Mus musculus: one gene and its partner. The protein of the gene in region 1 interacts with the protein of each later gene in a pairwise test. Links are inferred from orthologs where the notes say so. Each region holds a gene or a part of one and is shown in the gene's direction. Other genes may lie near its edges. The genes, in order: Abtb1 and Eef1a2.

Region 1 (14,737 bases):
ATCGTCAGATAAAAAAGAATAGGGAGGAATGTGCCACTGCCCCCAGAGACGGCTTTACACGATGCAGCTACAGTTTTAGAACTTTGCACTTGAGATCATCGCCAAGAGTAGTGTAGGCTAGCCAGCTTCTCCTGTTTCCTATCTAGGATCTAGGAGACAGGAAGGGAGCCGGCAGAGATCAGCAGGCACAGACACAAAATGACAAAGTAGCAAATGCCAATCTGACCTTGGAGTTTAGATGCCGGGAGCATCTTTGCCCCAGGATGTGGGATCCCATCCTTTCCCTGGAACAAGGTGGCTGTCGCTATACAGGGAAGGGTGTCATACATGTGGCCGAGCAGCAGGCAGGTAGAACACCGCCCTGTCCTCACATCAGTAACAACGCTGACCACTTGACCCTGGGATTTGAATGTTTGGGACAGAACTGCTGACTGGGAAGCTAAAGTGTCTAGACCTGAGCTGCACCTGGCTTTTGCTATGGTCACAAGGAGCAAGCCCACCATAAAAGTCAGCTTGGTGGATTTCAGGTTGACCACCAAGGGGGGGGGGTAGGTCCTTATCCTAGGTAGGAACCCAACAAGAGTAGCAGTTCATCTCTGCCTCGGGGGTCACAGGAAGGCATTGGGCTTGCACCCACGGTGGCCTGTTGACATGTCTAGAGAGCTGGACATGCAGGAGAGGGATCTGGTTGGGACTCTCCTGGTGGCAGCAGCCTGGCCTCTCTCTGCCACAGAGTTCCTGTGGAGGTCTGGGTTTGTTTTCTTGTTACATTCTTTAATTATACTTGACATGATCATCCAAACAGTGGGGTAGAGTCTGGGGGGAAAAGAAGCCACCTCACCCTACACCCACCCCACTCCCTAGGCGAGTTCCAGGGTACTCTGAGTCATCTCTATGGGTTTTTCAAGTCCCTTGCTGTAAGGGCATTCCCACTGCTCCCGAGGCTCAGTGACATGGTGGAATGACCAGCAGAGGAGCCTGCTGTTTTCAGCCTCCCTGCTCTCTGGTGGCCATGGGGACTTACTGTTGTTGTTTCCAGCGCTGGATACTTTGCCCCATGATAAGGGTGGACAGATCCATGTTCCCTCTACCCGACTGACTTTGGGGCAGGCTCACACCTTTACCATGGTATTTAGAGATGGAAGTGAATCAGCTGTATCTGCCTGTGCCCTGCTCTCAGCTGGGCCCAGGGCCGACCAGGCTGGGGAGAGGGCCATCTAGGCCTTTGGGATCTGGGATGAAAGCTACCATCCAACCTTAAGCTTGGCTCCTCTGAATCCCTAGGAAGTATTTCGGCGGCACCGGGGACTACGGCTCCTAGCTCTGGTGGAGGAGGTACTGCCACGCCACCGCAGTGGCCATCGTGGAGACTGGCATATTTCTCTGAGCAAGCCCAGTGAGAAAGAGCAACACCTGCTGATGACCCTTGTAGGAGAACAGGGTGAGCAGACAGGGGAGGTGTCCCGCCACAGGCCTGCAATGGAGGCTCAGGAAAGAACAGGGAGGGCTGTGAAGCTAGGAGACCCAACAGGCATTCTACTGCAGGGCTCTGGGTGAAGTGATACCTGGGTTCTGGGGATGAGGAGACAGGTATGGCCATCACACTCTATGAGAGCGGGATCCTTGGGCTGCAGAGGTGACTTCTAAAATCATGCCTTTCATAGTTTCCCAGGGGGTCAACTCAATGGGAAGCAGGCCAGCAGGGGACATACATGGGCCCTGAGGTTCCCTGTGATTAGAAGCACAAGGGCAGCAGAGGCGGCTCAGGCATTCTGCCATAGGAGAAGGGTTGGGTGGTGTGGAGACACCTCAGGGTGCTGTGGTGATGATGGCGTTTTTCCTCCAGGCGTGGTACCCACTCAAGATGTCCTTTCCATGCTCAGTGGCATCCGCAGGAGTCTGGAGGAGGTAAGTGTGTAGGGACTTGACCTGGCAGCCACTGCAGCATCTTCTACCATTCTTGACTCTCCAAAAGTGCCTGGAAAAACTTACTGCTGTTCCAGAACAGGGGTGTGTCTCAGGGCTCTGGCCATCCCCAGACACAAAGAACAGGTGCAGGTTACCACCCGAGCAAAAGGACTGCACACCCCCAGGCCACAGTGAGCGATCGACCATCAAAGAGGGGATTAAGTAGGATGGTATCTGAAGTATCATGAAGAACACGGTGGGGGGGGGGGGGGGGGACGACGACAAGATAGGCCCCGCCCCTACCAGTGCTTCTCCGGGGGAATCTGAGGTGTGGGGTGGATGCAGGAACTGGAAACAGCCCTCTATAGTCAGAGGTAGCACTGATCAGATGTGGTGGTCTGGCCCCTGCTGGGCTATGGGACACAAAGCTGGGGATCTAGATAGCCCAGAGCTACCAGGGGCCTTGCCTGAGTGACTCCCAAAGCTCTCGTGGTGGAACTTTAGATCCCCAGCAGGAGCCAGAACACCACATCTGATCAGTGCCACCTCTAACTGTGGAGGGCTGTTTCCAGTTCCTGACATCCCCCACCCCTCAGGTTCCCCTGCAGCATTGGTGGGGCGGGGCCTATCTTGTTTCCCCTCGTCCAGGTTCTTCGTGATCTCCAAATCTGGGCTCAGGAACACAGATGGACAGAGGGCACCTGCAAGGGTTCCACACAATGCAGGGAGGAGCTGGAGCCCAGCCCCTGCTCCAGAGCTCACTGATGGCACTCACCTTCCTCGGCTCCCTCCCTTCACCTGAGGCTGGACTGTAGGGAGCTTTCCCATTGGGAGGGAGTCCAAGCCAGCCAGAGCAGCCTGCAGTAGGGAGGCACATGCCGCCTGTGATCTTACCACTGGGAAAGGGAAGAAGCTAGAGACCCCAGCTGTGGGCTGCAGTTGGCATCCCCACAGAGGTTCCAGGGATGCGGGGCCTAGCATGGATGGCTAGGGTGACATTACCTTATGCCTAAAGATGAAGCTTGCTTCAGGCCTCTGCCTTTGGTGAACTCAAGTCTCCCAGATGCCATGTTGCTTTGTGAAACTGATGGGGACAGGGGTGGGGCCCCATCTATTTGGGCCGTGACTGTCATCACGTCTCAGTGATGTGCAGGGCCAGAATTGGTGCATTCAAAGTTGTGTTGGTGTAGAAACACAGTGAGGAAGTGAAGGAGCCAAGAATGTGGACCCTGGGAGAGGCTTGGAAGTGTTCTTGGATGAACCAGTAGGGACAGAATGGTATGCCCCTCTATGCAGGTCCAGGCCCCAGGGCTGTCAGGGGCTCTAACTCACCCTTGGAATGTTAGCTCTTAGGGCTTTCCTGATACCCCCACTCTTAGATTGGCATCCAGAACTACTCCACCACCAGCAGCTGCCAGGCACGAGCCACCCAGGTGCGCAGTGACTACGGGACGCTCTTTGTAGTGCTGGTGATCATTGGTGTCATCTGCTTCATCATCATTGTGCTTGGCCTACTCTACAATTGTTGGCAGCGCCGGATGCCCAAGCTCAAACACGTGGTGAGTAGGCCAGGGAGGGCTTAGGACTGTAGGGCAGAGTGTGGCTAGTATCACCCAGTGCTACCCAAGAGCCTCACCTAGAAACCTGTACCAACTCAGTTGTGCTCAGTGCCACCATCTACCCTCTCTGAGCCTGGTCTTCGAGGAGATACACAGTGAGGGGGAGTTAAGTCTCACCAAGGGATCCCTCCTCTCCTCCAGCTCTTCCTAACCCCAGTGCCCCATTCTGCAAGGCTTGAGAGCAGCTGCTCCCCTCAGTCCTAGAAGCCAAAGGCTCCTGCAACCTGCACAAGAGAAAGGGGGCAGGCCCTGCACATTCTGCCCTATCTCGTATGCTTTGAGTGGGCTGTCTCATGTATAATGCGCTGTTGGAAGGGATCAAGTGACACCAAGGGGGTCACAGGGTTTACCTGCAGAGGTTTAGGTTTGAGTTGCAGGCACTTGTATCCTGGGCCCCAAGGGAGTAGTACCCTGGGGGCTTGGCGTGGCCAACCACTGTGCGCGCCTAGCGCTCTCTCCTGCTGCTGCAGTCGCACGGTGAGGAGCTGCGCTTCGTGGAGAACGGCTGCCACGACAATCCCACGCTGGACGTGGCCAGCGACAGCCAGTCGGAGATGCAGGAGAAGCAGCCCAGCCTGAACGGTGGGGCCATCAACGGCCCGAGCAGCTGGAGCGCGCTCATGGGCAGCAAACGCGACCCTGAGGACTCGGACGTGTTCGAGGAGGACACTCACCTGTGAGCGCCGGGCCACGGGCGCGAGACTGCCCGACGCCACGGCCCCGCGCCCCTCCCGGTCCTCCACGCGGACCACTATGCTTCCCCACCGCAGCAGGCGACCGCGGCGCAGCTCCCACCCCGCCCTGCCCGGCCCCGAGCGCTTGCCCGAGGCCAGCGCGCTCCCCGCGCCAGGACTCCATTAAAGCCGCTAAGACGCGCGGGCCGCTCCGCCTCCACGCCTGTTTTTTGCCTTCCGAGGGCTGCACTCCGGGGAGTGGGTGGGATGGGCCTGGAGGAGTAGGTGGGGCAAGGGAGGCTGGCTGGGCGTGGCCAAGGACGGGTGGGCTGGGAATTTCATGGAGTTTGTGGGCGTGGTTAGGGATATGTGGGCGGAGGGTAGGGAGTATAAGGTCATCTGGGTGGAACCAGGCCGGGTGGGCTGAGCCTGAAGTAGGCTGGGAAAAGTCCTGGTGGGCGAGGCCTCGGCCTGATGTGCGGGACCTGAACCGAGCTAGACTCAGGACTGACAAGCGTTCCAAGCCTGTGGGAGGTGCTGTTTTCAGAACGGATCCCAAGAAATGTGGGCGGGGCCTGCAGCGAACTGCTCTTCCGGTGAAGCTCTTCTGAGGAGGCGGGGTCTTGGTAGTGAGCTATTCTTCGGGCGAGTGGGCGGAACCTGGGGGAATTGAGTTGTCCTCTAGACGGGTGGGCGGGGTGAAGGCTAGAAGTCCCCAGAGGCTAAGTGGGCGTGGTTAAGGTTACTGGGTGCGGCCTTGGGGAGCGGCCTTCTGGATGCGAGGGCGGGGTTCGGGCCGGACGGTCCTCCGGGCGGCAGGCGCCGCTGCGGAGTCGCAGGCGGGCATAGCTAGGCCGTGCCGCGAGGGGCGGGGCGGTGAGTGTTTACATCCGGCCGGGCACAGACGACTCCCGAGATCACTCGGCCGGGGGTCCAGTCTCTTTCGCCATGGATACCAGCGACTTGTTTGCCAGCTGCAGGAAAGGGGACGTGGGCCGTGTGCGGTGAGAACCTGAAGTGCAGGAGGCGGGCAGGCGTCCGCAGGGCTTATCGGGCACGGGTGTGGGGTTGGGCGCCGTGGGGCTCCCGAAGCTGACCGAGTCAGGGAGATCGGGCTCTAGGTCCCTTACTTAGCTCGGTGCAGGGAAACGACTCCTCTCCGTGGAGGTTCCAAGAGGCGCAGGCGCCGCTGGTGCAGCCAGTTACCAGCCTGGCGCCGAGACCGTGATCTCCGTGGGCAGGCAGGGAAGAGAAGGATCCTGACCCTTTTCTTTGATAGACTCCTTTCTCCCATGGCCCTTCCTTCCAAGTCCCCTGGTCCTCAACAGATGTGACCAAGCTGCAGCTCTCTCCGACACCAGATGCCACCTCAGAGTTAATGATCCGTCCCTCAATTTGAATGCAGCTCTGAGAGTTCAGGTCTTGCCTCAGATAGCCTCCTTGGGCTGCCATGTCCCAGTGATCGCTTTCTGGTTCATGACCTCTTCTCCTCAACATTTTATCAATTGTTTTTTCCACTTCTTCCATAGATCTGTTCTGTTCCCCTCCTTCCCCGCCCCCAGTGCCTGCATCAGCTTTCTTCTGACTTCCCTGCCATTGGCTCCCCAGGCTGAATTAGGGGCCCCATCACCTTCTCTCTCCCAGATATTAAAAGACCAAATTCTCAGCCTTCTGAACCTGGGGCTTGGCCTCTGTCCATGAAGCCATCACCCAACTCACAGTTGCAGACCCTTGCAGACCTGTGTAGTCCCAGGCCTTACCCTTCTCAGAGGCATTCCCTAGCCCAGAGAGATGTGGCCTCCTTCCCCTTCCTGGTTGTCTCTCTCCCAGATGAGAAGCAATTCTGACCCAGGCTTTGAACTTCCTGCCCAGGTACCTGCTGGAGCAGCGAGACGTGGAGGTGAACGTGCGGGATAAGTGGGACAGCACCCCTTTGTGAGTGTGAGCGGTGGGGTAGCTGGGTGGGCAGGGTGGGCCTACCCTACTGACAGCTTCCCCCTTTCCTAGGTACTATGCCTGCCTCTGTGGGCATGAGGAGTTGGTGCGCTACCTGTTGGCTAATGGTGAGAGAGGGTCAGGGTCTGCCTGTAAGCTCTGAGACCTTGCTCCATGTTTGTATGCACCCTTGATTTCTTGTTAACTCCCTAAAGTCAACACATAGTACTCTCTAACCCTCTATCCACTTTCTCACGTTACCCTTGACACCCAGGCCAGTTCTGGGGCTGTCTCCTGTACTGTACCACCATTGGTCTGCTAAACTGACTCTCTGATCTCCATATTTGCAGGCAGGAGGATCTTTCCACAGCAAAGCTGATGGGAGTGTTTGGGATAAAAGCACGTGGGCATGGTTGCCCACACCTGCAATTAAATTATTGGGAGAGAGAAAAGTCGAGACAGGGATTATCTTAAGTTCAAAGCTAGTCAGGGCTACATTGTGAGACCCACTCTGACCTCCTCTCACTTTGCCTTCCTTGGGTCTCCCACCTGCTGGCTGCCCCACTAGACCTACCCATCTCCTACCTCAGGGTCTTCTCAGTTGCAGTACTTCCTGCTTAGACTGGAGTTCCTTCCTAGATCTATGCATCTCCCGCTTCTTTCAAGTCCCTGTGCTTAGCCACCTCACTTCACAGTTCTCCCCATGTGGCTGCCACTGCCATAGTCACCCTTGGTTCTGTTTTGTAATAATGCCGGCTGTCATATAATAAACTATGCATGGGCTCCACTAGGTTCAGTTGGGGCAGGGATCTGCTAGTCACCAAGATGGCTATTTACAGGGCCAGCCCCTCAGTCTGGCCTTAACTGCATATAGTCCAATATTTACATGTGTATTCATGAGTATGCCTACATCTAAGTGCACAGATTGTATGCCTTGGCCTTCCCAAGGACCGAAGGGTTGCCTGGGCCTCTGTGGCAAGGAAGGGCCTCTGGGGAGCTGGGGAGGCCAGAGATCTCCCCAGACTAGGTGTTCCCTTGACTCTGACTGATGAGCATTGCTTTGTAGGAGCCCGCTGTGAGGCCAACACCTTTGATGGAGAGCGGTGTCTCTACGGAGCGCTAAGCGACCCTATTCGCCGTGCACTGAGAGACTACAAACAGGTCACTGCGTCCTGCAGGAGGCGGGATTACTATGACGATTTCCTGCAGCGGTGAGCTGGGGGTGGAGCTTGCAGTACTGCTGGGGTTGCTGGGCACTCTCAGTGGGTTCTGGTGGGTGGGTTTGCTGAGTGGTCCTGGTGCGCCAGCAGTTGTCAGGATGATGCAACCTTTCCTGGCTTTTCCCAGGCTTCTGGAACAGGGCATCCACAGCGATGTGGTCTTTGTGGTACACGGAAAGCCGTTCCGGGCCCATCGCTGTATCCTCGGTGCTCGCAGTACCTACTTCGCCAACATGCTGGACACCAAGTGGAAGGGCAAGAGCGTCGTGGTTCTCAGGCACCCCCTGGTGTGTCCATCTGCCTTGGGAGAGAGTGCCAGTTTCTGGGAGAACAGATAGTTCATGCTGGGTGGTAGCCTCTGACCTTCCCTTTCTACTCTGCCTGCAGATCAACCCGGTGGCCTTTGGGGCTCTACTGCAGTACCTGTATACAGGTGACTGACCGACCCCGTGGGCTGGGACAGCAGCACACCCAGGGTGGCCCAGAGCTGATGTCACCTTTGGGGAGGAGGAGTGTGCCCAGCATGACTTAACCTGTTTGGAGAGGACAGGTCCCATCTACAAATTGAGCAGGTCTTAGGTCCTTCCGGATGAGAAAACCAAGGTATTGAGTAGGAGTCACTCTCAGGTCCTGACTCAGCCTCCTCAATCCCCCAGGCCGCTTGGACATCGGTGTAGAACACGTGAGTGACTGTGAGCGCCTGGCCAAGCAGTGCCAGCTGTGGGACCTGCTGGATGACCTGGAGGCTAAGTGCGAGAAGGTGTCTGAATTTGGTGTGTACAGGGTCTCAGTCCAAGGTCTTGGGTTACAGCCTGCAGCTCTGGTCCACCTCTCTAAGTCCCTGCCGTCTTCTCCCCCCAGTGGCTTCCAAGCCTGGCACGTGTGTGAAGGTGCTGACTATTGAACCTCCTCCAGCAGATCCCCGGTTACGGGCAGATATGGCCCTGCTAGCTGACTGTGCCCTGCCATCTGAGCTGCGGGTATTGAAGGGCATGCCAGCTTGGTGGGCATGATGGGTGTCTAGGGATGGGGCTGTGAGGGGCAGGTTCCACAGAGCTGGGTTCCCTTCCTAGGCCAACCTAGAAGCTACTTCCCTTTCATGAACGGCTTTGCTCTGAGTCGTCTCTTTCCTATACCAGGGTGACCTTGGAGAGCTGCCCTTCCCATGTCCCGATGGCTTCAGCAGCTGCCCCGATATCTGCTTCCGAGTGGCTGACTCCAGCTTCCTCTGCTACAAGGTACCTGTCCCACCCCTGGCCGCGCTGCTCAAGCCCTGGGCTGGCCCCTTGGGGCAGATTCGAGCCCTGGTCCTTTGTGACCTTGCTTCCTCAGGCTTTCTTCTGTGGCCGCAGTGACTACTTCCGGGCCCTTCTGGATGACCACTTTCAAGAGAGTGAGGAGCCTGCAGCCTCTGGAGATCCCCCAGTTGTCACCCTGCATGACATCTCCCCGGACATCTTCATTCACGTGTTGTACTACGTATATAGTGACCATACCGAGGTGAAGTGGCGCCCAGCAGGAGGGCAGTGGTGAACAAGCCCTGGGCCGTCTGCCGTAGTGTTGTCACAGTCCTTGGGTCATTCCTGCACTTAGCTGTCCCAGAGTTCCTGAGCCAGGCCTGTGGGTGGCTTTAGACAGTACCAAAGGTTCCCTCTGTTGGTATGTGTTCATGGCAGTGTAGCAGGGCACTATACAGGAGAGAAGTGTATTTTCCATTGGGTCTGAGGGGTGAGGTGGCTTGCTGGGGTCCCAGGTGCCCCTTTGTCTGGTTTTTCCAGGGCATTGCCACAAATCTTCCCTAGGAAGGTAATGTTTTAAGGCTGGTGGGCCATATGGTATTGTCAGGGCTGTTCAGCCTCCAGGAAAGGTCTTTGTAGAAATGGTGGCCCTGACCCCCAGGCTGTGGCTCCCCCATCCTCTTTGTTCTCTGTTACTGAGATGGAACTACAGGAATCTGTGTCCCTACATCATTTTCTGGTGACCCCAGTCCTGGCCATCTGGCTCCCACCAACCTGCCCCCTCTGTATTAGGCTTTGTCACTAGCCTTCCTTCTGTCACTTCCCCTCACTTCCTTTCTCATGGCCTGCCACTCATTCTGAGGTTGAGTCTGAAATCCTGTGTCGCAAGCTCTCTCTGGAAGAAGCTTGGTACCCCAAGAACATTTTTAATAGCTCAGAGTGTGGACTGGCCTCTGAACATTGTCAAACAGTAGATTAGTCTCGGGAGCTGTGTGATCTTAGACAAGTTATATCCCTGCTCTGTGTTTCAGTGTATTCCCCAGAAGATGGAGAATAGTATGTTTCCTTGAGTCTTGAGCATATGACCAAACGACCAGAGAATAGTTAGGTGGCAGAGTGACATCCAGAAGTGTGGTGGCATAGTCCCTCTATTTTTTTTTCCCCTCTGCTCAGTCCCTAGGCCACCCAAGGTCTGAAGCTGGATTCTTGACCTTAGCCAAGGCCTAGCAGTCTCCTCCTCAAACTTGTGTGGTCTTTCACAGTGGAAGGAGCCATTCCCAAGCTGTGGGCTGGAATAGAAACCTCCAGCTCACTTTACTTTCTTTCAAGTCTTCCAAGGCTGGCATGAATCCTCTACAGATGAGGGGACTGAGATACAGAGGTGAAGGGACTTGCCTGGGACCCCACAGCTGGATGGGGAGAGCTCAGGTCTATGCCTGAGCCCACACTGCTTTTCCTAAAAGGCCTGTAGTCCTAAGCACTGACTGAGGCATGGAACCCCCCTCTCCTGAGCTGATTCTGCCCCTTGCACCCCCAAAGACCTGGGCCAGGCTCCAGAGATGTGAGTCTCTTGTATTTCCACTGGGGTTTCCTCCCTGGACCCTGGGAGCCCTTGATGATCCCCTGTGTCCTGTTGTCCCTTTTCGTGTCACAGCTGCCTCCTGAGTTGGCCTACGATGTTCTGAGTGTGGCTGACATGTACCTTCTGCCTGGCCTGAAGCGGCTGTGTGGCCGCAGCCTGGCCCAGCTGCTGGAGGAGGACAGTGTGGTGGGTGTTTGGCGCATAGCCAAGATGTTCCGGCTGGCCCGGCTGGAGGACCAGTGTACCGAGTATATGGCCAAAGTCATAGAGAAGGTGGGCAGGGGTGCAGAGAGGGGGAGCCTGAGAGGGTGGGATGCAGCCTGTGCTGAGCCTGCTTCTCTGCAGCTGGTAGAGCGGGAGGATTTCGTGGAGGCCGTGCGGGAAGAGGCGGCAGCTGTAGCGGCCCGGCAGGAGACAGACTCCATCCCGCTCGTCGATGACATCCGCTTCCATGTGGCCAGCACGGTCCAGACATACAGTGCCATTGAAGAGGCACAGCAGCGACTGCGGGCACTCGAGGACCTGCTCGTGTCCATTGGCTTGGACTGCTAAGCCCTTCCGTGGCCAGGGCAGCCACGGTGACAGGCATGCGCAGTGTGTGCACGCAGCAAGATGGCATTACAATGGGCAGAGGGGACCTCACAGGATGTCCTTGGGATGAGCCTCCTCCTCCAGTGCACAAGGAAGCCCCAAGATTTGGGGCAGGCACCACTCAGGGAAAACTGGGGTACGGTAGGCTTTGAACTTAGTCCCATCTCCCCCAGCGTCCTACCTGCTCCCTCCTGGTTCTCACCCAGCCCTGGCTTGCTTCGGCTATTTCCGCATACAGGGCTGGACAGGACGTAGGGGGTGTGTGGCAATAAAGCTTGAATTCACTCTGGGGACCTGAGCCTGTTGTTGGGGTACAGCTTGCGGGGGGGGGGCAGGCTTTGGGGAGTGGAGCTGGTGAGGAGAGGAAGCTGGGGACTGTGGATAGGGGACTTGGGCATTCTTAGCGGGACACTCCATGGAGGGTGACCCAGAGGCTTGGAGAAGAGGTTCTCTGATCTGAGCCAGTAGGCCTGTATCCCTGCCACTTAACCACACCCGGTGTGACTCCATGGCCTAACTACAGAGACACAGAGGACTATGGTATTCCCTGGATGCCTCAGGCCAATGGACCACACCCCTCCTCCACACTCCAGTAGAACTTTGCTTTGTCCCCAGTGCTAGACAGCTGTCAGTCTACATGTTGTCCTGCAGTGCCATAGATCTCCCCACCTTTGTGTTTGTCATGTCCCAGAACTTTCTAGATTATTTTCCTCTTCCTCACCAGTGCATTTCCATTTGTTTTGCTCTTGTGTGTTCATCTTTTGGGGAAAGACCTGAAGCTGCCAGCTAGGACAGGTGGCCTCGAGTCAGGGTTGCTGGCAGAGGGTTGCAAAGGTGGAAGGCAGTTTGCCACTGAGCCCACCACAAGCAGAAGGGAAGCCAAGATGGGCGGTGGGGTCTCACTGGCTCTGCCTTTGTGCCTGTTCTTACATGTCTGAGTTCCAAACCGGGGGACGAGCATTTAAGTGTGGTCACCTGAGGAGACTTAGGGTCACATCTGGTTTGTGGTGAGCCAGGGTGTTTGTGAAGCATCCGAAGGAGCTTCCTGGGGGGAGGTGCCAGCCAAGCTGGGTGTGACAGTGACTTGCATCTTTAGGCTTGTATTTTGAAACCACAGGGACAGGGAGGATGGGGACACAGGCCACACACAGCCCAGGATGTGTGGACTTCAACTTCAGGAGGTAAAGGGAAAGTTTCAAGTTGCCATGCATTTCTTCCCATGTGTGATTAATTATTAAGTCAAGTCCATCTTCTGTATAGATGTTATTTGAAGTCAGAAAGTTTCCATCTTTCATCAGACGTTAGTAACATGAGCAAAGGAATTTTCAGTGCCCTGGAATCCATATTCTCCACTAGGTTCATGGATGCGATGGCAATCAGGTTGGTCCCCAAGGAGCCAGGCCATGGGTCAAAGTGGACACGAGTTCCCCAAATACCACGCATGTGCCCAGTTCCCCATCTTAGCATGAGGCAGAAACCCTCCTGGGTACAGCAAGTAAGAAACACCAACCTTGTTACTGGTTAGGCAATGGGGTCCTTCCTGCTCTGCCCACAAGGTGGTTGTGAGCAGGTGAGATGCTCTCCACTGATGGCTGACCCACGAGGCTGGCCTGGTCAAGCCAGAGGCTGTGGAGAGCTGGGATCTGGGTGCTTCAGGCTGCAGAAATGAGAGATTTAGGACTCCAGGTGACCAGGCTGGGGATTCATCACTCTGGGCTTTAGCTCACAGTGGCCTGGGTGACATGTAGGTCCTACTAGTGTGGCCGCCCATCAGCTAGCTGACCCCTTTGCTCTGAATCTTTCCAGTTAGAAGCCATAAGGAAGGAGACACGTCTAGTGTCGGTCTTGACTGTTGTTATTTAATGTTTGGCTGCAGCAGGTGGTGCCCACTCTTCCTGCAGGCCTTGGCTCTCAGGTCCTGGAACCCTGTAAGCGGCACGTCTTGTGTGCACCTTAAAAATCTGACTCCTCAGCTGTTGGCATCAGCCAGGGTCGCATTCTTGTGTAGCCTGGCAAGAATGGAGTCCTCAGTCCTTAACACTGGCTTTGGGTCAAGGTTTGGGACTCTTGGCCCTGCAGACTGTTCTCGGAAACTTTCAGTGACCAGGGTCCATAGTTTTTCTTCCCTGGTTCCTTTCAGGCTTAGTTGCTCCTCAGTCTCCATTCTCCACAGTCTTCGCTTGCTGCTCCCATTTCTGCCCTGGCTGCTCTTGAACTGGTCAGCTGCTCCTTTGGCTCTGCCCCTTCTGCAGCTCAGCCTGTGACAGCTCACCTGCCATGGATGCTTCTGCCCTCACTTGGCTGCCAATTTTTGTTCTGCTCAGCCTGTACCATTGATGGTAGGCAAGGACAGACCACTTTAAAGATGTTTCCTGAGACTAACGCTACGCCAGCAGGGGAGGGGAGCACAGGAGGGCATCTCCCTGCTACTTATGAGTGGAGGCCTGAACAGCCTGCTTTATATATACAGCTTGAGAAAAGCTGTTTGGGCCAAGCATAGCCTTGCCTTGTAGCACAAGCCAGAGTCTGCTAGACCACATCGGGGTGTGCTCCTCCTCTGGCTTAGGTGGGAATGGCTGCAGGGTCATCTAGGGTTCACCCAGCCTCAGGACAGCCCTAGCTCACTGAGGCTGTGCCTCAGCCACTGGGACAATCAGATGTGCCTCACATGGTTTCCTTAAGGTGTCTGTGGAATGTTCCAGATGGCTGGTGCTGACAAGGTAGTTGAGTTGACAGTTTGTTTTTTTTTTTTTTTTTTTTTTTTTGTTCAGAGCAGCCAAGCATACTTCAAAAGCAAACTAGCTAGTTAGGGTGACACATTGCTCCTATCTCAGAGTCTTTAGGTTATTTATAGGAAAATGAGCATGAGTACTTAACACTAATAGTAGTTGGGTTTTTGTTGTTGTTGTTGTTGCTTTGTTTAACAGATTGGTTTCTGTCTCAGTTTGGGTTTTAGTGCTGTGAAGAGACACCATGGCAACTCTTTTTAAATTTTTTTTTTGTTATTTTTAAAATTTATTTTAAAGATTTATTTTTTACTACTATGTACACTGTAGCTGACTTCAGACACACCAGAAGAGGATGTCAGATCTCTTTATGGTGGTTGTGAGCCACCATGTGGTTGCTGGGATTGTAACTCAGGACTTTCCGAAGTCAGTGCTCTTACCCACTGAGCCATCTCACCAGCCCCATGGCAACTCTTACAAAGGAAAACATTTCATTGGGGCTGACTTACAGCATTAGAGGTTTAGTCCATTATCAGCATGGCAGTGTGCAGGCAGACAAAGGTACTGGAGGAGTCAAGAGTTCTACATCTTGATCAGCAGGCTGTGTGCCACACTGAGCATTGCTTGAACAAAGGAGACCTCAAAGCCCGCCTCTACAGTGACACACTTCCTCCAACAAGGCCACGCCTACTCTAGCAAGGCCAACCTCTAACCATGCCTCCTAATAGTGCTACTCCCCATGGGCCAAGCATTCAAACCAATCGATGAGTCTCGGGGGGCCACTCCTATTCAAACCACCAGGGCTTCTTTTGAGACTGGGACTTGTACCTCTGAGTAACTTCAAAACTGGCTATATAGCCTAGAATGGGCCTGAATTTATGCTTCTCCTTCAGCCACCTCTCAAGTGTTTAGGATCAGAGGCACACAGCACCCTCCATGCTTGGGAACTTAGCTCCTGAAGGGGGAACTTAAGAGCCACAGCCAGTGTTACAGCTCAGGCCCAGCATCTGAGACCTTGTAGACTCAACAGCACCCTCAGCACAGCATACCTCCCTGCTTACCCTGTGTGTACTATATTGTACTTGGATAAATAGATAGACAGACAGACAAACAGACAGACAGACATGCTATACATATCCATACACACACTACAAAAATTTTTTAAAAATGAAAAACGGGATAAGCATTTTTTTTTTATCAAAAGATGTACTATGACTACATAAGAACCATCTCTGTCTGACTTA
Region 2 (14,893 bases), on another chromosome or scaffold:
TGGGCTAGAAGAGAGGTCAAAGTGTTTGACAACCATTAATAAAGTGGGTTTTTAAAATAACTAAGCCTACTGTGTCCTGTAGTATCAAATATTGGGTCACAATTTCATTCTTCATGTAAAAACAAATAAGCACACCCATCTCATAAATAGTAAATAGTCTATTAGAGGAAAGCACAGGCAAGCAGTGTGACTAGGACCAGCCGATGTAAAGACAACACATCATTCCAGATGAATATGGACACACTGGGCTACATCAAAGTTAAAAACGGAGTTTGTGTCATCAGTATTACTTTTTAAGAGACTGGGGTCCTGAAAGCCCCCCCCCCAGGAGCTCCTGGAGCCATTGACGCTGCAGGTGTACCCTGCCACGATGGGGAAAACCCACTGAAAAACTATATTATAGGCTAGAAGGGAATATTTCTAAAGCATGAATCTGACAAAGGACTTGTGTCCATAATTTATAAAGAACTCTCAAGACTTGACACAAAAAAAGATAAATAGCTGCATTTAAACTGGATCAAGGACTTTAGTCCTTTTTCCAGAGATCTACAAGCAGCCAGCCATTGCATGAAACAATGTTCAGTGTCACTGATCACTAGGAAAACTGAACTCTTCTTGTTGGCTGACAGCCTGGAAGCCCCCTAGTAATGTAGGTGCCTTCCTGGTTTCCTCCCATCCAGTAGGAACATCTGTCATGTGCATTACAAAACAGAGCCTTGAGGTACCAGTTGCATTCACGTTCCAGTCTCAGAGTCCTGTAACCTAAGACAGGGAAATATCAAAGGTGTGAAATCATTGGAAACTTTACCCAGGCTGAAACTACCACGTGGCTGAATAGAGAGAAAATTCTAGAAAATAGTCAGTATTGAGCAACAGGGGATCCAGCCAGTATGGCTGAGCCTCCTTGTTTGTTAGTTTATCTATTTACTTGAGGAAGGATTTGAATTTAGAGTACTGCCTGCTCTAGATTCAGCACAGGTTCAGCCTCCTTTTGGAGGCCTTAGGAGAAGATGGAGGCTGAATGCTGAGTGGCAGTCAGGAGGAGTCACATGGGTGGCACTGCCATCTTGGAAAGCAGTCTGTGTAAGTCTGTTAGCTGAATGTCGATTGAACAAGGGCCAGCATAGAACCCAGAGTCACTTCCCAAAGCTCTATGTACAGAGAAGAGAAACCAGATATATGAGGAACGAGGGTGGTGCCGCATTAAGAGAAGTCAGTCATCAAGGGCTGCCAGAGGCTGCGTGACTGGTCACTGTTGCTTGGAGAATGCATTCTGCCTGGGTCCAATGGGGATATTGACACACATCCTGTCCACCATCACAGGGCTTGAGTTTAGAGTCAGGAGACAGTATGCCAAAATCTTTGACCCTCTGTTTCAGAAGTCTCATACAAGATACATGTGCAGCTGTTTATGGCAGCCTTGCTGGTAGCAGGTTAAAACTGTGGAACAGTGTTCAGCCACAAAAATAAATGAAATCCAGTGTGGCTGAATCTCACAGCCCTGATAATGTACATTGTAGTGTAGATTGTGAATACCTTCAAAGGTTCATGTGTTTGTGAAGGCTTGGTCCCTAGGGTGGGACTGTTGGGAGAGAGTGGTTTCTTTAGAGCAAAGGCCTTTAAGAAGGTCTTTAGGACTAATGGAGTGTGCTTTTGAGGAGAATTGCAGGACCCAAGCCTCTCTCTTTTTTCTTCCTGGATACGAGGTGAGAAATTTGATTCTTTGGCGTATTCCTGCCACAGTGTGCTGACTTGGTATGGTGCCAGTTCACCACGGAACTCCAAAGCTGCAGGCAGAGGATATTTTATAAGTAGCTCATGTCAGGTGTCTATTATGGCAACAGGAAGCTGGTGGTGGAGCAGGGAAGGAAGCCAGACAGAGGATGCAGGTTGGAGGCTCCAGTGTGTGTTGTTTAAAAACAGCCCCAAGGGGCTGGTGAGATGGCTCAGTGGGTAAGAGCAAAGGTCTGGAGTTCAAATCCCAGCAACCACATGGTGGCTCACAACCATCCATAACGAGATCTGTCTCCCTCTTCTGGAGTGTCTGAAGACAGCTACAGTGTACTTACATATAATAAATAAATAAATAAACAAATAAATAAATAAATAAATAAATCTTAAAAACAAAACAAAACAAAAAAAAAACCAACCCCAAATGAGTCTGTGTCAGGAGTCCTCACGGTGTTGGCCATTGAGGTGTGTCTATTACCCAGAGGGGCGCAAGGGAGTGATCTGGGTGCTGCTCCCAAGGGTGAGTTCTCTGGAAGCTCAAAACATATGGTCCTCCCCGTGCAATCCCCATGTATGTTCACCTACGTTTAAAAGGATCTGCGTGGGACTAGAGAGATGGCTCAGCAGTTAGGAACATGTACCTCTTTTGGAGGAATACTTCCAACAACAACATGGGGTAATTTACAAATATCTGTCTCATTTGTACACATGCATCGACAGGCTCCAATACACATACTTTAAAATAAATCTTTTTTTAAAAAGGACTGCACCTTCTCCATGTTGCAACCCTTCTGTGTCCCTTTGCCCCCAGGTATGGCTCTTGGTGATGGATGGGATGCTGGCCTCCCAGGGCTTCTCTTGGACCAGTGTGGTTACTCCTAAGGTTGGCCATTCCCTGCACTGTGACTGAAGACCCCTGGTCTTCCCCTTTGTTTCTGGGTGTTACTGCAGGCAGCACCCTGCTTTGACCCCAGCAGTTGGTCTGCTGTGTGACCTCTCAGCCTGCAGAGTATGGAAAGTTACTCGTGTCCCACAGTGCCTGTCAGACTCTTACTGGTCTTCAGAGATGAACAGCTCTTCCCTCATTGGATGTTGTAGGGCTGGGCTCCCTAGAGAAGGAGGGAGGAGCCTCCTGCCTGGTGAGCTGCCGCTCACCATGGCAACAGCTCCCTGTGGCTGTGGGCTCCCTGACAGACTGGGGATGCCTTAGACACACAGACCTCATGCTTTGGGAGATAGTGTATTTGGGGTCTTGGCTAGCCTGAAATCAGGGGTTTTCCTGTCAGGAAGGCACTAATTGTTGTCAAGGAGAGGCCCCAGAACTCCCCTCATCACAGACAGTTTATTGCTTGCTGCCTCAGGAGCACACTCAGTCTCCTGGTATCTTCCTGGAAGCTGATCTCCAGGGAGGCTTCCTAGGACTCAGGCTCAGGTAGATGGCTGGTAAAAGGCTCTAAGGCCAAGGACTGTGCTCTGAGACCAGAATGCATCTAGCAGTCCAAATCGGGGTGGAGATTTCCTGGAAACTCTCAGACTAGAAGATGTCCCAAGCGTGACCCTGATCCTGTCTCTAAGACCCTTTAAAAGCCACTTGATCCCAGTGACATACATCTGTTGGATATTGACTACAGGAGGCTGTCCTGACCATAGCTCACAGAAGGCACCCGCACAGGTGGTTAGCTGGGCACTGCAGCTATTATTAACCTGACAGTGACATCACCGCCAGCCAATGGGAAGCGGGTTTATTTGCAGGGCTGGCAGCTTGATAACGGTTAATTTTAGCTGGATCTTCATTTCCAACGTTTGTGAAACCCCCACCAGTCAAAGGGGGTGGTGCTATATCTCCCTAAACAGCTTAAAGACGGCAGGTGGGGGTTCCTGGAGAGGCTGAGGAGGTGTAGAACCTGAACCCTGTCCTCCATGCTGCCAGTAGGAAGAATCCTGGTTTCCTGTAGCCTCTCCTTGCTTGCCCTGCCCCACCTCTGGCAGCTTCCCAGGGCCACCGTGACCAGGGCTACTGAAGGAACATGAGTAGTAGCAGAGGTTGTGGCCACAGGTGAAACGCAGGCTTCTGTCTGGAAGTTACACTGTCTTAGTTCTAATGCCTTGAGCTACCCACTGGTGTGGTCTCAGGTGCTGAGCTTAGTTTTGCCCAGTTTCCTCATAGGTTTTGGGGTCCCTGAGCCCTACTTATAGAACCTGATGTTTTTCAGTATTGCAGACTTTATTGCTTAAGTGCTGCTAAGCATGCAATTGAAGAGGATAGAAACCCAAAATTCTGGCAAGGTGCTCAACTAGGCTCTACAGTGGAAGGCAGGAGAACCATCCATAGGCACTTTTTATGGTAGGATCAGGCTGGGGCCCTCAGGACCTAAATGTCCCATAGAAAGCCCCATACCAGCACTACTTCCTGGAGATTCAGTCCCAACTTGGGAGATACATGCAGATTGAAGCAATAGCTGCCCCGTTGCTGGCGCTATTGAGTGCCTGGCCATTGCTCAGTGCTGCTGGCTTAGTGGCTCCTTGGAACAGCTGGCCTCAAGGCCCCCTATCATGTTGGCTGAGTATGTTGTTGCTCAACACTGTTAACCTCTTAAAAATCTGTTTTCTGCCTATTCCCAGGGTCTCTCATACCAACAAAGGCTTCAGGGATTTGCAGTGGAGGCAAAGTATGTCCTAATGACAGGGAGGTACTTTTGACCTGCCTCCTGTAGGTCAATGTATAGGTGTTTCAGGCAGGACATGACCTCTGGTCATTAGGGGTCAGTCCTCTAGATGGGTAAGCTCCTGGCCTTGGGCCTTGCTGGCTCACTGCTGCCCAGATAGACAGAGGAGGCGACTCCAAAGCTAAGGACTAATAGCTATTCACAAAGATGCTGGGTTTTGGACCTCATTATTGAGCCCACTCTACCTCCTGATTTCGAAACCAGGCCCAGTCATCTCCATGCAAGAAGGAAGGCATTCAGGGAGAGATGAGTTGGACAAGTGGGTGGAGTAAATGCTAATGTCTTGCCAGGCGTTTATTTTTAATTCCTGGCTCCCAGTTGACGGTCTCAGCAGTCTTCAAAAGTGCCAAGTCATCTGAGAGCCCTGCCTAGCCTCTGGCTGCCCTCTGCTAGACAGACCCTCATTAGGCTTCACCTTACTCTCTCTTCATACTTGATAGCTGCCCTAATTGGGCACCCATCTCCAGGGTCCCCTAACAGGCGCTCTCAGTAGGAGGTGCTGGGCCCTGACCTGGGCCTTCTATGTCTAGATCTACTCTACACCAGGGTAGAAGGAATAGGCACAGGCCTGCTGTCAGTCAGCATAAATACTCAAGGAACCTTTGCTTCCTACTTGCAACCACAAAGACTGGTTGGGTTAGGACAGGTGGCAGTATTGGAAAACGGGAATGTCTGGGTCAAATGACAAGATAGGCACCTCTGAAGAAGCCCCTGGTGATACACGGTGGCCACAACCCCCTTAAGGTCTATTTGGGATATCCTAATCTTTCTAGAAATCTCAAGGGCTCCCTGCTTCCTACCAATGGAGCCTGAAGGAGAGTGGGGATCTGAACCCTGTTTGGATGTTCTTGGTGACCTTAGCTAAGACCATCTGAGAACGGGCTTTGTAAATTCCCTACACCTAAGGGAATAGGTAGACAAAAACCTCTTTCCAGGGCTTCATAAGAAGGTTGGGCTGCGGGCTGGACTGGCTGATTGCCTCAAGGGCCTGTCATGTAGGGTCCATGTGAGTAAGCACTTGTGCTAGGGGTGGTGGGGATCGTGGAAAACCTCTGGAAACTGAGCTTCATGTTCACCGGGACTCAACCATGAGCAGGGCCAGCAATGGATGCCCACATCAAGGCTTGCAGGGATCTTGACCTGGGCTTGGGCCTCTTCTCTCCTAGTCTACTTGCTGGTTCCCTATTGTGTTCCACCTTCCTGGGGACATCTTTATGTTGGATGTACCTTTTTTTTCCCCCCTGCTCTCCAGCAACCACTGTCTCTGCTACCCCAGTTCTCTCTACTGTTTCTTTCGCTTCTCTCCATCCCTGCCCCTCCTTTCCTGGCTCTGTTTCCCTGCCCCCACCTCTGCGCGCTGCACCGCCCTTTTGCCTGTTTTTCTCTCCTGGTCTGCGTTCTCGCTCACTGGTTCTCTCCCTCGCTCCGGTGCATCATTGCAGCTGCGTCCTCTCGGATCCTCATTACGCCGGCCCGCGTCCGTGGGTGCGCGGCCCCTGCGTCCACGCATCTTTCGCATCCCATCTGCCAGCCGCTCGGCGCCCGCCTCCCCCCTCCGGTACCGCATTGCCGTACTGCAGGGGCGCAGTGCATTGCGCCGGCACCGTCAATAGGTGGACCCCCTCCTGGAGAGATAAAACCGCCGGCGCCGGCGCCACCAGTCCTTCTGACTGAGTCCTCGGCTCTGGGTAAGGACGCACATCCCGGTCTGAGACCCTTGCTTAGGTTTTCAATCAGGGTTCGCTTCTCTGGGAACCCAGCCCGGGGAAGAGGGGAATATGCGGCACCTAGCTGGGCTGCACCCCTGGGCTGGGGGTGGAGGGAGGCTGTCTCTAGACTGGGCATGGTGGGTCCCCGTGGCAGTCGGGTAGTGAGTCCCTTAGGCAATTGTGACAGTGGAGGGGGGCCTTCTCCTGAAACCTGCCATCATGCTGTCACCTTGACCTTGGGGCTTGTCTGGGCTCTGCTGGGCTTGACAGGCTGGTCGGTGAAAGTGCTGGCGCGGTGGTTTGGGGCCCTGGGGATGTCCGTGATTTGTCAGAGTAGGGCGGGGGAGGTGGTGAAATCTGAGGACCCCTATCGCGTCCTATGTGGCTCCCACCCTCGGATGCACCCCCCACCCCAACAGGCCTGAGCTTCTCGGTTGACCTCTGAGATGCGCGGGTACTGAGACACAGGACCTGGACTGGATAGTAGGGGAGAGGGTCAGGGCATCTCTGAGGGCACTTGCTGAGCTGGGCCAGGTGGGATTTTTATTTCTCTGGCTAGAACAGGACATTCACCTCTCGGCCCTCATGGCTGCCCCTTGCCTGTGGGGAGGGCCTGAGCTATTCTGGGCCTATGCCTGGGTACCATCCAGCTGTCTCCTCTGCCAGCCTGTGGGCAGAGGGAGGAAGATGGCGCCCTTGCCCGTGGAGGGGCTGAGGAGTGCTGGCCTTCTCTTCATGGTGGCAGCAGATGGGGGTAGGGCAGTGTCCCTCCCTGGTGTGTGTGTGTGTGTGTGTGTGTGTGTGTGAAGGGGGGGGTGGCATCGAGGACAGGAAGGACAATGCACCCTAGAGCTGGGCACAGTGACTCATCACAGGGCTCCTGGCTGCTCCAGAGCTTCACTCAGTCTGCTGCTCTGTGATGTCCAGACCTGATTAACCCTTCCCTAAGGAATTTGCCTCCAAATCACCTTCCCAAACACTTACACACTAACGGAGCATTTGGGCTAAGGTATAGGGTAGAGAAACAGGTGGCTTATGAATGAAATGTGGCTGAATGGGGTTAGGACAGGGTTGGGGGGGGGTGTCGTTCTTCCCTATTCTGGCTCAGGAGAAGACTGGGTCAGGGCAAGCTCCCAAACAATACAAGAATGGCGCGGGTACCTCTGCTGGACTCTCTTTGGGCCCCTTAATCACTTGTTTCCCTCGTCCCTGACTCCACAGAGTTCCTGCCCAGCATATACCCTCAACCCCAAACCAGAGCCCCCACAGTGCCAGCCCCTCCCTCACCCAGGCAGAATGGGCAAGGAGAAGACACACATCAACATTGTGGTCATTGGCCACGTGGACTCAGGCAAGTCCACCACGACAGGCCACCTCATCTACAAGTGTGGTGGCATCGACAAGCGGACCATCGAGAAGTTTGAGAAGGAGGCAGCAGAGGTGAGCACTGTGGGCCTGGTGCTGCCATTGCTCAGTTTACCTCCTTCAGTGCAGGGGATATGGGTGCCTGGTGATGGGAGGGGTGAACAGAGCAGTCTCCCTCTGAGAATGTTGCTAGATTTGTCTCATACTGAGGGAGGGGGAACTTGTGCCCTCCCCAGGCCCATCCGAAGGCTCTGGACTCGGCCTCAGTGGGCCAGTGCCAGGAGACCCTCAAGCCTTATCCTCTTGTTCCCCAGGGCTGAAGCTGGGCTGGATGTGGTGCTGTCCTCGCTTGTCTGGCAACAGCCAGGGCTCAAGGATGCTATTAATAGCTGATTGATGGGCAGCAGGCTTGCCAGCTCCACTTTCTCCAGATAAGCTGAGAAGGGTTGCTGGTCCAGGATGGTACCTGGAGTGGGGGGTCTTGGTAGCCTGTTCCTGGTTGAGACCTACAAATGAGCAGTGGTTGTAACAGAATTCTCTTCTCTGCCCCTAACCCTGCTCATTCCGAGAAGAGCTGGCTCCTGGATAAGGGCTAAGGCAGATCTGAGGGCATCAACTGTCTATGCAGAGCTCCTGCTCCTGTGTGTATATGGGGCTTTGAGCCACAATTCTGTGTGTCTAGGCCTGATGCTTTTACCTTTTAGGGGTTGCGCTGAGGGGAGGAGGTAGGAGGGACCTGAGGGTTTGATGGCCACTTGGATCAGGTCCCAGCTGGGTTTTGTCTGGCTCTGTCTGGGTAGCCCCTCCAAGCTGGGCATCATCCCTGGAATGCAGAAGCAAACATGTCATGTGAGATTCTGGTAGGGAGTCATGTTCAGCTGAGCATCGATGACCACAAACCGTGGTCCAGGCTGTAGGAGTCTCACAAGGAGTCTCACCCTGGCACAGATTTGCAAAGAGCAGCCAGCCTTGCTCTTGGTGGGGCTGTTTCTACTTCTGTTTTGGTGGAAGTGGGGAGGGGAGATGCCTCAGAGTTATTCATCAGCTGCAGGAAGAGCTGGAACCGGGATTTTCTCAAAACCTTGAACAATTTACTCATTTTTAAAATTTTCCCTTAAAAAAATAACTTAGAGAGTTGTTTTGTTTTTAACAGTCCCAAACCTAATGAGATAATTGATCTCTAATTGGGTGTAGAGCCTTAGCCTCAGGTGGCAAGGATAGTTTGGCAACTCCCAGGCCCTCACGCCCTCTGCTGGGGGACTTGCATGTCCACAACCATTGAGGAAGGGAGTGAGGGTGGGGCTGGCTGATCTGGGCAGCCTGGGGTGAGGCAGAGCAGGGTTTGGGGATCAACACCAGAGAGATGGGACAGAGGTCTTCAGTTCAAAGTGCTTTAAGCCAACTGTCACTTCTCCATGGCTGCTCCCATGGGCCAGGGCAGGCATGGCAGGTGGATGTGACCTCAGAGTCCTGTGTCTTATCCTGAGTTGTGCCTCTACCCTTCCAGATGGGGAAGGGCTCTTTTAAATATGCCTGGGTGCTGGACAAGCTGAAGGCCGAGCGGGAACGAGGCATCACCATCGACATCTCCCTCTGGAAGTTTGAGACCACCAAGTACTACATCACCATCATCGATGCTCCAGGACACCGAGACTTCATCAAGAATATGATTACAGGCACATCCCAGGTGTGCACAGAGGGCACCTAGCTCAGTGACTCGGGGCCCAAGAGCTCTCTTCAGGTGTCAGCGTCTCTTGCACTTTCTGTCTCGGCAGACCTCTACCCATGTCATCTCCATGTCCTCTCCATCCTGTTGGGCATAGAGTCCCTCAAGAACTGAGTCAGTGTTTATATCTCAGCTAGACCGGGTGCCTGCAGGGTTACCTCTGCTGGGGCCAGCAGACAGACCAAGGGTGACATGTAGGCATATCTTTCACACATAGATTTTTATAGAAGAGCCCAGAGTAGATACAGTGACATATGGGTAGAAAAGCAGTCAGTCAGTCACAGGCAGAGAGGACAGAACCAGAGGGGATCAGTGACTCATCCAAGGACCATACCCTGCTGGCAGTGGAGTTGATGGCCAGTCTGGGCCTCCTTGACTCAGGGTCTGGTGGAAGATTCCCCTGTTGCCCTTGAGGTAGATACCCTGAATCTCTACCCCCAGCATAACTGCCCAGGCCCCATTATGTGGGTGGCAGGGCCAGGTCGAAGGCAGGGCCGGGTGGGGACTCACTGTGTCTGACCTGTTGGCTAGGCGGACTGCGCAGTGCTGATCGTGGCAGCCGGTGTGGGCGAGTTTGAGGCGGGCATCTCCAAGAACGGGCAAACCCGGGAACACGCACTCCTGGCCTACACTCTGGGTGTGAAGCAGCTCATTGTGGGTGTCAACAAGATGGACTCCACGGAACCAGCCTACAGCGAGAAGCGCTATGATGAGATTGTTAAGGAGGTCAGCGCCTACATCAAGAAGATCGGCTACAACCCAGCCACGGTGCCCTTCGTGCCCATCTCGGGCTGGCATGGTGACAACATGCTGGAGCCTTCACCTAATGTGAGTGGAGATGGTATGGTGGGGACAGTGCTGGCCTTCTCAAGAGCCCAGGGCTCCAAGGCTCCAGGCCAGGGTGGGCCAGGCTCCCTTTGGTCTTGCTAGGTTTCTGTGAGCTCTGTGGTGATGAAGACCTCCTAGTAAGGGACCTGCATTTGAAGTTCTCTGACTCAGCCTCCTTAAGAGGCCAAAAGAGGAAGATAAGGCCCTTTTTCTGGCAAATGATGGTTTCATCAAGTCATCCCTACAGACACTGCCTGTTGGATCCCGGATCTCACTATGGGGGAAAAACAGTTTTTATTTCTCCGAAGTCACTGCCCTGGGTTTAAATACTATTCAGGCCGGGTGTGGTGATGCACACCTTTAATCCCAGCACTTGGGAGGCAGAGGCAGGTGGATTTCTGAGTTTGAGGCCAGCCTGGTCTACAAAGTGAGTTCCAGGACAGCCAGGGCTATACAGAGAAACCCTGCCTCAAAAAAACAAAAAAGAAAAAAAAATCAAAAACAAAACAACAACAACAAAAAACTATTCAGAATCAGTAAGGCCACATGGTTTTTTTCAGCTGCCTCCCCCTTTAGTCTGAAGTGGGTTGGTATCTGGGAAGGAAGCATGTCCGGAGGCTAGCCTGAAGAGTGGAGGATTGTGTTTGGGCAGGTCATGTGGAAGCTTGAAACTTAGACAGTCTGCAGCTCTGGGTTGGGACTCTTACTTGGGAGTAAAGAGGAAGACATTTTTCAGAGACAGCCTGGGACCTAGACCTTGGTCTATCCAGAGGAAACCCCTGTCCTAGAAAGGTGGGTACTCAGCTATAGCCAGCTTTGCAGCTGCCACTGTGAGTAAAATGATAGAAGCCTAGGTTCTCTGGAGATAGCTGGGGACCCAGTGCCTGGTGGTATAAGGACAGAGTTTGGCGGGCAGGGGATACTCCATTTTGTTCTTGCTGATGTATGATTAGCAGGACTTTAGAATCCCCTGGACACTTCTGATCAGCAGAAACTCCTCTGCTCCCTACTGCTCTATTGTGCTCTGGGGCTATGCCCATCCATACGTTGAGAGTCATCTGTTGACCTGAGGTGCTTGGAACTTGGCCATGAATACTAAGGCAGGAGTGCACAAAGCCCCTTGGGTGGATTTACTTCTTGTCTGTGGCAGGTGGACCATGAGGAGCTCTGTCAGGGGGGTTTGAAGTCATCCTCCAGAGAGGCCATTGTAGTGGTGGTGGTGGTGGTGGTGGTAGTGGTGGTGGTGGTGCTAGACCTGAGCTTGGAGATAGTTTGGTATGGAGCAGAACTCTGGGGTAAGGGCAGAGGGTGGATTTTATCCATGGCATGGTCATTGGCTAGACTTGGGTCCCCATTCCCCTGGTACTTGTCCTGTCTAGGGCTATGATTGATCAGATCCCAGGGGAATTAGGGAATCAGGCCAGGCTGAGTGGTCTCATTTGTAAGTGGTGGGGGCATGACAGCAGTCTGGGGAAGCTGTTTTTGTTTGCTTGATTTGTCACTTCCCTCTTTCCTAAGCTGTGTTTGTTCAGGGTCCCTGTGAGGCTAGGAAGGAGAGGAGGGATAAGGAGCAAGCTATTCAGCTTGAATGGTCAAGCTCCCTTCCCAGGCTACCCCTTAGGCAGGTCCAGGAGATCGGAGGCTGAGGGTCAGGTCAGGTGAGTTGCTCTGTGATAACTGGCACCCTTTTGTTTTCCTTTTTGGTACTGCCCAGATGCCATGGTTCAAGGGCTGGAAAGTAGAGCGTAAGGAAGGAAATGCAAGCGGCGTGTCCCTGCTGGAAGCCCTGGACACAATCCTGCCCCCCACCCGCCCCACTGACAAGCCCCTTCGTCTGCCTCTGCAGGATGTGTACAAGATTGGGGGTGAGTGAGGGTTCAGTGCTGGGGCTCACTGCGGCAGGCGCTTGCCTACTCTGCTCCAAACCCTGACTAGGATATCAACAAGGAATCTTGATTCTTGCTCTATCTACCCACCCTATCCATCCGTCTACTCAGTCACCCCTCCCACTCACCTCCACAGTGGCCCCTCCCACCTACCATTTGTTCACTCAGCCTTCCATAGGATCCCTTTCCCACTCCGTACCCCCTCCAGCACTCAGCCACAAGCTAGGGACATAAGATAGGAGTATTGAACCGACTTACACTTTGCCTGCAGGGTGGAGGGTGCCTGTCTCATAGGAGGCAATCCTAGTCCAGGAGTGAGAAATATAGGTCACATGGGCCAACAGAAACCAAAGCCTCATATGAGACGAGCAAAGGGAGGGGAATGCGAATATCACGCTCACGCTTAACTCCAACACAGAGCATGACTGTTGGCTTTTCTCTGCCATCCCATAATGCCACTCCACCCACAAGCTTCCAGGAGATGCTGGAGAGCTCTCCCTCTCCCAGCCACTTGCTCATCATGGTATCCCTGTGGAAGCCAGACCGTCTGTGTGAGCAGGCCTGTCAGAAGGGCTGTGGCCAGATGCCTCTTCAGTGGCAGGACCACAGTGCTACAGCAGGACTCAGGGAGTCCCGTGAGGGCAGGAGTAGACCCAGCGCCAGGAGTAGATTGGGCCACACACCACAGGGAGGGGTTCTCAGGGAAGGAGGAGGAGCTTGTGATGTTCCTCCCTTCTCTGCCCTGCCCCTCATCCTTGAGTCTGCCGGGAGAGACTCCTTCTGTCTCACCCTCTGCTTGTCTAGGGACCCCCTGTCTACGTATACCCTCCGTGAGGTTATCTCCCTTGACCCCTTCAGAGAGGAACAAGTCCTGAGCTCCATATACTTTCAGGCTCCCTGCTTGTATGTTTTGCCCTGCACCGCTCCTCTGGCCTGCCATCTCACAATACCCTCTCTTGGCCCAGGCATTGGGACCGTGCCTGTGGGCCGAGTGGAGACCGGTATCCTCCGGCCTGGTATGGTGGTGACCTTTGCGCCAGTCAACATCACCACAGAGGTGAAGTCTGTGGAAATGCACCATGAGGCACTTAGCGAGGCCCTGCCTGGTGACAATGTCGGGTTCAATGTGAAGAATGTGTCCGTTAAGGATATTCGCCGGGGCAATGTCTGCGGGGACAGCAAAGCTGACCCGCCTCAGGAGGCTGCCCAGTTCACCTCTCAGGTTGGTGGTTGCACTAGGGAATGTGGGCATTCCTCCTCAGAATAGGAGAGATGGGTGGGGGTAACAGGAACAAGAGCTACTGGCCTTTGCCTAGCACTGAAGAGGAAGGCCCTCCATTCACCCGAAAGCCACTCAGTGTTCAAAGGCTACATGGGTGCTCAGAGTCACCAGCAGGTAAGCAGGACCATGGCCTCTCTGGGCAGTCCTCCCCTGGGATATGGTCTATAAAAAGGCTTTTATTAGTGTACTGCCTGGGGTATCAGTGTAGACTTCTTTCTCTTAAATTTTTTTTAAATAGATCTACTTATTTAGTGTGTGTATGTGAGTGTGTGTGGCATGTGTGTATACATGCACACGTGTGGAGGTCAGAGGGCAACTTGGAATCAGTTCTCTCTTCCCATCTTGATGCTCCCAGGGACTGAACTCAGGTCTTCATGGTCCAGCAACAAGTATCATTCTTTGTCCCCAAAGCCATCTTGCTGGCTTCCTTCTCTCTATATTTTTATTGAAGCCTTTTTTAACACCTCTTCATGGGACAAGAATTTTAAGGACAGTATTATTGAAATGTAATAGAAGCATTATGATTGCGGTCCAATTCTGTCCTGGCTGTACAATGTGTCCATTCTATCATGGTCCTTTCAAACAGTGCAGCTATCTTTTGATTGCCTCATAGTTTGCTACATGCTTAGCAAGATGTTGGGGTATGAGTGGGGTCCCTGTGGCCTGAGCATTCCTTGCATAAAAACAGGATCAGGAGATGACCCTGTGACTGGACCCACCCCACCTAACACTGTCCCTGTCCCAGGAGACCTTCCTCACAGCTAACTTCCCCTCTGCTCTCAGGTTATCATCCTGAACCACCCTGGGCAAATCAGCGCTGGCTACTCGCCAGTCATCGACTGTCACACGGCCCACATTGCCTGCAAGTTTGCCGAGCTAAAGGAGAAGATTGACCGTCGTTCTGGCAAGAAGCTGGAGGATAACCCCAAGTCCCTGAAGTCTGGTGATGCAGCCATTGTTGAGATGGTCCCTGGAAAACCCATGTGTGTGGAGAGCTTCTCACAGTACCCACCTCTCGGTGAGCCGGGTGATCCAAGGTGTAACCCAATGCGGTACTGACGGGCAGGGTCAGGGGTTCCTTTACTATGGCAAATTGAGGAAAACTCAGCATTTAGTAAGAGGTCTCATCGAGCACACAGACGCGCGCGCGCGCGCGCGCGAACACGCACACGCACGCACACATACACACACACACACACACACGCACGCACGCACACACACACACACACACACACACACACACACACACACACAGTGCTTCTCTTTTGAAGAAGAACGCCTAAGGGACTTCCTCGCGGCCAAAAGCAAGTCTAGTAATTTCCCTCCCATCCCCTGGCCCCACACGACAGGACGGCCTAGTTTGGTCTAACTAAAGAACTACATACTTGCTGCTGTTCCAGGCTACTGGGACTCTGACGGTCAGAACAGCTTAAGCTGTTCTGCGGTCGCCCAATGCACCTGCATACTGCATCCTGGGCGTCCCGGTAGTTTACGCATCTCTCCCCACAGGCCGCTTCGCCGTGCGCGACATGCGGCAGACTGTGGCCGTGGGCGTCATCAAGAACGTGGAGAAGAAGAGCGGCGGCGCAGGCAAGGTCACCAAGTCCGCACAGAAGGCTCAGAAAGCGGGCAAGTGAAGC

Evidence for each region.
Region 2: the proteins of Abtb1 (region 1) and Eef1a2 interact in binary tests that used the Homo sapiens proteins (3 or more experiments, as listed by UniProt). The two-hybrid records come from large-scale screens. The link is inferred for Mus musculus from reciprocal best matches to the Homo sapiens genes ABTB1 and EEF1A2.

Annotation. Positions count from the first base shown.
Region 1 is NC_000072.6:88,832,237-88,846,973, reverse strand, and holds Abtb1 (ankyrin repeat and BTB/POZ domain-containing protein 1), read left to right. Parts: upstream 1-5,038; 5' UTR 5,039-5,149; coding exon 5,150-5,205; intron 5,206-6,073; coding exon 6,074-6,136; intron 6,137-6,208; coding exon 6,209-6,264; intron 6,265-7,202; coding exon 7,203-7,347; intron 7,348-7,483; coding exon 7,484-7,643; intron 7,644-7,743; coding exon 7,744-7,789; intron 7,790-8,012; coding exon 8,013-8,129; intron 8,130-8,217; coding exon 8,218-8,336; intron 8,337-8,495; coding exon 8,496-8,594; intron 8,595-8,688; coding exon 8,689-8,856; intron 8,857-10,248; coding exon 10,249-10,449; intron 10,450-10,521; coding exon 10,522-10,728; 3' UTR 10,729-11,060; downstream 11,061-14,737. Other genes in the region: Podxl2 (podocalyxin-like protein 2), read left to right, coding at 1,285-1,441, 1,847-1,908, 3,288-3,467, 3,977-4,207. UniProt on the Homo sapiens protein: May act as a mediator of the PTEN growth-suppressive signaling pathway. May play a role in developmental processes.
Region 2 is NC_000068.7:181,147,976-181,162,868, reverse strand, and holds the start of Eef1a2 (elongation factor 1-alpha 2), read left to right. Parts: upstream 1-5,853; 5' UTR 5,854-6,145; intron 6,146-7,387; 5' UTR 7,388-7,462; coding exon 7,463-7,606; intron 7,607-9,038; coding exon 9,039-9,218; intron 9,219-9,788; coding exon 9,789-10,085; intron 10,086-11,799; coding exon 11,800-11,950; intron 11,951-12,936; coding exon 12,937-13,193; intron 13,194-14,036; coding exon 14,037-14,271; intron 14,272-14,762; coding exon 14,763-14,890; 3' UTR 14,891-14,893. UniProt on the Homo sapiens protein: Translation elongation factor that catalyzes the GTP-dependent binding of aminoacyl-tRNA (aa-tRNA) to the A-site of ribosomes during the elongation phase of protein synthesis.